Linked DNA regions of Oryctolagus cuniculus. The protein of the gene in region 1 purifies or fractionates together with the protein of each later gene. This does not show direct contact. Links are inferred from orthologs where the notes say so. Each region holds a gene or a part of one and is shown on either strand. Other genes may lie near its edges.

Evidence for each region. Proteins that work in one complex are often made in the same cells at the same time.
Region 2: the proteins of OSBPL9 (region 1) and VAPA purify together in Homo sapiens (co-immunoprecipitation; 5 studies listed by BioGRID and IntAct, counting the BioPlex papers as one, with this or other methods). This does not show direct contact. The link is inferred for Oryctolagus cuniculus from reciprocal best matches to the Homo sapiens genes OSBPL9 and VAPA.

Annotation. Positions count from the first base shown.
Region 1 is NC_091438.1:121,155,440-121,159,090, reverse strand, and holds part of OSBPL9 (oxysterol-binding protein-related protein 9), read left to right. Parts: intron 1-1,160; coding exon 1,161-1,273; intron 1,274-1,381; coding exon 1,382-1,500; intron 1,501-3,651. UniProt on the Homo sapiens protein: Interacts with OSBPL11 to function as lipid transfer proteins.
Region 2 is NC_091441.1:67,118,445-67,122,095, forward strand, and holds part of VAPA (vesicle-associated membrane protein-associated protein A), read left to right. Parts: intron 1-3,189; coding exon 3,190-3,363; intron 3,364-3,651. UniProt on the Homo sapiens protein: Endoplasmic reticulum (ER)-anchored protein that mediates the formation of contact sites between the ER and endosomes via interaction with FFAT motif-containing proteins such as STARD3 or WDR44.

The DNA.
Region 1 (3,651 bases):
TGGCGCCGTGGCACGGTAGGTTAATCCTCTGCCTGCGGCGCCGGCATCCCATATGGGCACCGGTTCTAGTCTCAGCTGCTCCTCTTCCAATCCAGCTCTCAGCTATGGCCTGGGAAAGTAGTAGGCCCCTGCACCCATGTGAGAGACCAGGAAGAAGCTCCTGGCTCTTGGCTTTGGATCGGCGCAGCTTTGGACATTGCGGCCATCTGAGGAGTGAACCAGCGGAAGGAAGACCTTTCTCTCTGTCTCTCCCTCTCACTATCTGTAGCTCTACCTCTCAAATAAATAAATAAAAATCTTTAAAAAAAAAAAAAAAAAGTAATAGGATTTGGAGCTGGTGCTGTAGTGCCATAGGTTAATCTGCGACCTGTGGTGGCCAGTATACCATATGTGCATTGGTTCTAGTCCTGGCTGCTCCTCTTCCAGTCCAGCTCTCTGCTGTGGCCTGGGAAAGCAGTAGACAATGGCCTGAGCACTTGGGCCAGCCCCTGCATCTGCATGGGACACCCAGAAGAAGATCCTGGCTCCTGGCTCCAACCATTGTGGCCGTTTGGGGAACAAACCAGTGGATGGAAGACCTTTCTGTCTGTCTCCTTCTCACTGTCTGTAACTCTATCACTAAAATGAAAAAGCAATAGGATTTTATACATTTTGTAGTTTTCAAGGAAACTTTTTAAATAACTGGGAATAGTGTTATTATTGATGTGGGCTTTTATCAAAGGATCTCAAAAATTGTAGACCTGATATGCTCTAGCACTTAGTAAGACTGTTCTAGAAGTTGTTGTGAAAAATTTTTTCATAGGTGTGTTTATACAAGGCAACAAAATCAGAAAATGAACTCATTTTAAACTTGTATGCAGAGGTAAAAATGTCAGTAAATTTTTAAAAGTATCTATGCTAGCGTTTCAGCATGGCTTGGCTAAACACTATTCAGGCAGTTTAAGATGAGAGACTTTTATTTCTAGTCTTGGAATGGGGGTGACAGGGAGTTGGTTGAAAGCACTTACATATGTCAGTAACCAGCAGACTGTAAGACTCTAGTCCGTTTCTGTCACCTACTTGTATTATTGGTTTTAAGAAGTTTTGTAAATTGATGTCTATGATCCTAAATGCATTCCTTAGCTGAAGATGGTGATTAATGTTCATGTTTTTGTTTTTAGTTCTTCTGGATCTGCCTCTGTCTTGACACACAGCAGCTCAGGAAATAGTATGAAGCGTCCAGATACCACAGAATCACTTAATTCCTCCATGTCTAATGGAACAAGTGATGCAGGTAATGACCTTTGAGAATTTTTCTTTTTGTAAGAAACATTTATAATACTGGTAGCAGCACAGATTGGCCCAATTAAATACCAGCCTAAGAAGATGTGTTTTATTTTAGACCTTTTTGATTCGCATGACGATAGAGATGATGACGGAGAGGCAGGGTCAGTGGAGGAGCACAAGAGTGTTATCATGCACCTCTTGTCACAGGTTAGGCTCGGAATGGATCTAACTAAGGTAAGAATCTAATTTGGCATTTGATGTAAGTGTGTGTGTGTGTGTGTGTGTGTGTGTGGTGATTGTGCCTGCAAATGCAGAAAAGGTGACGTAACTTCCTTTTATACTTATGTCTTACTGTTTTTTAATATATTTGTAGACAAGTAAGCTAAAGTTTGTTTATAAAGGAATTAAATAAACGGAACTAAAATAATTTCGAAAAGAGTAGTTTGTATGTGTTGTATGGATTAACATTTGGATTGTATTTGGGGCACATGAAGAATAGTTAGGAGATGGATTAGTTAGTAGTTTGGGCAAAACTTGAAACAATATTGTGAGCACAGAATCAAAATGAACAGAGCTTTGGTCTTGGGGTCAGAAGAGCTGTGTTTACAACCTACCTCTCTGCTATCATCTAACTAATGGGACCCTGAGCCAAGTCCCTTACTCTGTGATCTTCAAGTTCTTTATATTCAAAATGGACGTATGAGGGGGCTTCAAAGGTCCATGGAAAAATGGAATTAAAAATAAGTGTTTTGGTCTGAAAAATTTTGAAATCCACACATAGATTTTTCACAATACAAATTATCCATGAACACAGGGTTGTAAGGATTGAAAGAGGGAGCCGGTACCGTGGCGGAGTGAGTGGAGCTACTGCCTGTCTCACCAGCAACCCATGTGGACATTGGTTCAAGTCCCGGCTGCTCTGCGCCTGATCCAGCTCTCTGCTACAGCCTGAGAAAGCAGTAGAAGATGGCTTAAGCCCTTAGGCCCCTGAACTGATGAGGGAGGCCTGGAAGAAGCTCCTGGCTCCTGGCTTCAGGTTGGCCCAGCTCCGGCCGTTGTGGCCATTTAGGGAGTGAACCAGCAGATAGAAGACCTCTCTCTCTCTTTCTCTAGTAGCTCAGCTTTTCAAATAAATAAATAAATCTTTAACAAAAAAAAAAGGATTGGAAGAGCCATCAGTGTAAAATTGTATAACTCATAATGAGTAATATAACTGCATTTGAATTTTTAAAAAATTTAAATTTAAAATTTAAAAAAGATTTATTTATTTGAAAGACAGAGTTACAGAGCAAGAAAGAGACAAAGAGAGAATGAGATCTTTCATATGCTGGTTCACTCCCCAAATGGCCACACGGACTGGAGCTGATGTGATCCAAAGCCAGGAGCCTCCTCTGGGTCTCCCATGTGGGTTCAGGGGCCGAAGCACTTGGGCCACCCTCTGCTGCTTTCCTAGGCTATCAACAGGGAACTGGATCAGAAGTGGAGCAGCTATGATTCGAACTCATACTCATATGGGATGCTGGTGCTGCAGGCGGCAGCTTAACCCGCTACACCATGGCGCCGGCCCCCTAAATTTGAATTGAAACTCAGAGCATTGAATAGAGTGCTGAGCTTATTTAGAAAGCTGTCTGCCCTCGTCACTCTAGAAGCCTCATACTTTCTCTTCGTTGTCCTCATAGCACTGTTCTTGTCAAGTGAACTCGCAGGGGTTAAGTAAGTTGACTGAATCATAATAAGTGGCAAAACTGAGATTCTACTCTGACCTGTGATTTAAAAAGCTATAATCTTTCCACTGTTGCCCTTGTCTCAAGGATTTAGGCTGTAGTAGCTTTCATATTGATTGGATTACTATTCTACCCAGGTTTGGAAATCAACTCTAGTACTATAATCCTTGTCAGTATTGGACTTCATTTTGGTTTTGAAATAGAGGACCATTAAGAAAAAAGAGTAATCCATAATGCCTTCTAATAAGTGCCTATAAAAAAATCTTTTATTCCTAATCTAAGTGAAAAGAGAAGGACAAAGATAACATTAATTTGTGGAGCCCAACATACTTATCAGGGATATACTAGGTAGGAGAGTATTTGCAGAAGGTTGTCCCAAGAATTGCTTCATAAATTATTAGATTGCATAACAGCTGGTCTTCCTGTCCTTGCCAGGAAGGACATTTGTTTTCAGAAGTGGATCATTATACTTCCTTTCTTCTCTCATTGGCTGGAGCCAAGCATGTGTCCATACCTAAACTAGTCATTGGCAAGAGAAGTTAAATGACTGGTTTAGATTAATCCATATTCGCTTCTTGAGACTGAGCGGGGAGGGTCATGGCAACAGATACATAGCCTGAACCTGAGCGGAGTCAGAATTCTCTAGGGGTGGATTAGACAT
Region 2 (3,651 bases), on another chromosome or scaffold:
CAAAATAGCTTGTCTGCCTTCTACCTTTCCCCTTTTATTTCCAATTGTAGTATTAGAATTGAAGTTACGATGGTTGTTGAAAAGGAATGCAGAAGTACAGCTCATAGATATAGAGGGCTACTGCAGTAGGCTAAATAATATAAAATAGTGGAAAATGTGTAACAGATTGATAAGTTGTCTTCATTGATGCACAACTTTGACCTTTGAGCTTATTCTAAGTTGTATTAAATATAATGTTAATGCAATGTTACTATGCATCACTTTTTACTAAGAGTCACAACATGCTCAATTCCTTTAGTTTGCTTATTTCATGGTTCTCAGAACAACCAGTCTCCTCTTTCTGGACCAGTCTGAAGCAACTCAAGGAACAAGCTGTTTTCCTGGAGCCAAACCTCATTAATGGAGCTCCTGAATGGAAGCATATACTTAAAGTCACACCTGCCTAGTGTTTCTCCTCAGGGTCATCAGATTGTCACTACATGAATGTCTAAGCTCGTCCTTCCCCCCTTTAACCTCCAACTCAGATTATATATGCTTATATTTTAAATATGCATAAATAAATTAGATTTATTTGCATCTGCTATGTATGTTGACTGTTTTGTAGGGGGACTAAGTAGTATTATGATACAACTATTCTGTATAACTTGTTCCATAACTCAGTTTTGAGGTATGTTTACATTTCCCTATATCCTTTGCATTCCAGTCTTGTGTTTATACTCTACAAATTGGTTATGACATTTTTTTATAATTATAAATTAAGTACAACATCATTAAGAAAGGTTTCAGTAAACAAAGAAAAATTTAATTCTACCATCATAAGAAGATACTCAATGTTGTATTGTTTAAAACTCCAAAGAATGAGAAGCAACTATTTTAACAAACAACTTAAAAAATATTTATTTGAAACACACAGAGAGAGAGAGAGGGAGATCTTTTATCTGCTGATTTACTTCCCAAATGGTTGCAATGGCTGTGTCTAGGCCAGACCAACGCCAGGACCCCCAGGAGCTTCATCTTGGTCTCCTGTGTGGGCCCAAGAACTTCTGCTACTTTCCCAGGCACGTTAGCAGGTAGCTGGATTGGAAGTGAAGCAGCGAGGGCTTGAGATGACTTTCATATGCTGGTGTTGCAGGCAGTGGCTTAGCCCACTGTGCTACACCACTGACTCCTCTAATACACTAAACCAAAATGAAAGGTATTAATTATTTTGGTAAGCCACAGAATGTGTAATGACCTACTGCGTTATTTAAGATGATAATTATGTGTGTATAAATGAAACGCAAGGTAAAAAGTGTTGATTTTTATAAAAATGCATATGAAAAATATTGGAATGTGAATAATATGCTGCACTGTTGAAATGATGGGGGATGATTTCCTTGCCTTCCCTCATAATTTAAAATTTTCTTGAATTTCAAGAGTTTATTTAATAAGGATCCACTTAGGAAGCCCTTGATGATTCTTAGTTAATTTTTTTCTCTTCACTGTTGACTTCATGTATATACTTTGAGTTTCTTAGCTTTTTGGTGAGAGAATATTTTTTCTCAATTCTTAGCAAAAGCCTGAAGGCTCAATGTTCTTCACTTGCCATGTTGTTGACTATTATTGCTGCTTTTACAGAGGAAGACAGCGTGCTGCCTTCGTTGTGATAAGTTGGGCTGGTACTAGGATGGAATATGAGCACATGAGAAAATGATTTTAAAGTGAATTTTAGTCACTTTAAAAAGAATAGGAAAGAGTATTGGCAGAGAAGAAAATGTATCTGAACCAGAGTTTTGATAGTGAAGTTGGATTAGATGGGTATGGTGAAGATTAGAGTGAAGAACAAGAACACTAGCAAGAGAAAAGTGTGGGGACAAACTGAAATATAGGCTTCAGTAAAAAAATCTTACCTGAGAAACCTGAAAGGGGAGAATCCACTGACAGGTCAGACATACACAGTGTTGTGTGTTAGAACCTCGTTATGACATGAATCATTTTTACACTGACTTAGGCATGCTGATTAAGTCACGTCTTCATAAGAAATACTAGTTTGCCTCTTGAACAAACCATTTCTTTATACGTATTATAAATTTTGCTGCTGAGATGTGCAGCCTGTAATAAATCTTGCAAATGAGTGCTGTGGGACACCGTAAAAGTTAATTTTGTAAATGTCTTTGTTTATATGTGACTAAAACAGGTTTATGTCTATCTAAGAAACGTTTAACAAGTAAAAATGTAAATGAAAAAGGCTTGTTAGTACTGTTAGAGAGTGCATTTGTAAGTGATGCTAGCGTGACAGATATTGGGGCACTTTAGACCCTGGGCTTCGGGACCATTTAGCAACTGCCCTTGGTACTCGTCACCAGGCCCTTACCTCTAGTTTGAAGTGCTTAAGAGTTGGTAAGAATTAAGGTTTGGGCGCTCATAGTTTTAAAAATACATTAACTACTACTGAGGTGTAGTATTCCATATTTAAGCACATGCATTAAAGCAAATTATTACTAATAATTTGAAGGAATCATTTATGTTCAAGTTTTAGATCATAGATTCTTTACACCCTTCCCTCCCCCCTTTTTTGCCATATATTTGTGTTTATTCAGTATTTATACCATCCAGTTATTTTTTCCCACTAATAGCAGTTAGTTTTCTTTGAAATGTTTTTTCTTAGCTAGTTCCTAATGTCACTGGAATGATTACGATATACTCCCCTACCCCTAGAACCTTATTTGAATTGCAGAATCAGAGCACTGAAAATGACCTTCATTATTTGGATTTTGATTGGCATCAGTCATTCAGCATGCTTTCATTGAATAACTACCATTGGCCAAAGTGCTGGGTTTATAGGGGTAAATACAAAGAGAAATGGCTCTTACCCTCCCAGCCTTTGAAGTATTGTAGGAAGCAACTTCAAAAATATATAATTATGATATAAGTGCTATGGTGGAGGTAAGTGCCAAGAGTTATGGGAGTAGAGGAGGGAGTGGGCTGCTTGTTTTGACTATCCAAATGCTGACATCTAATGATTTAGTCCTTTTTAAAATTATTCACAGATGACCATACATGTGGTACTTAAAGTTATTATTAATGAAATTAAAAATTGTCAAAACTTTTAAGGAATTTTTGGAAAAGAAGGATGTGAAATGTATATTTTTATTTACTTAAAATCTATATTTGGTTAGTTTAAAAATTCCCGATATCTTTGTAATACAGAATGACATGGAACCTAGCAAAGCTGCTCCACTGAATGCATCGAAGCAAGATGGACCCATGCCAAAACCGCACAGTGTTTCCCTCAATGATACCGAAACAAGGAAGCTCATGGAAGAGTGTAAAAGACTTCAGGGAGAAATGATGAAGCTTTCAGAAGAAAATCGACACCTGAGAGTAAGTCCTGTGGATTGAAAATAAGTTGTAAATAAGTTGATAGAAATGAAAGTGAAGGAAATGGGAATAGCTAGGCCATTTTGCTCTGGTCTTTTTATCGCTAACCCTACCCCTTTTAACAGTCTGACCATGGCTTCTCAAGACCCACCGTCCTTTTCCTCAGCTGTCACCCTGGAAGCTGTGGCTGGCCTCAGCATTGTTTTGGCCCCTTTTGCTTCTTCCCTTCTTGACATTCTGTGCCCCAGCTGTGCAGAACTGTCTAGGACTTCCCTGTCCTCCACTGTAGCC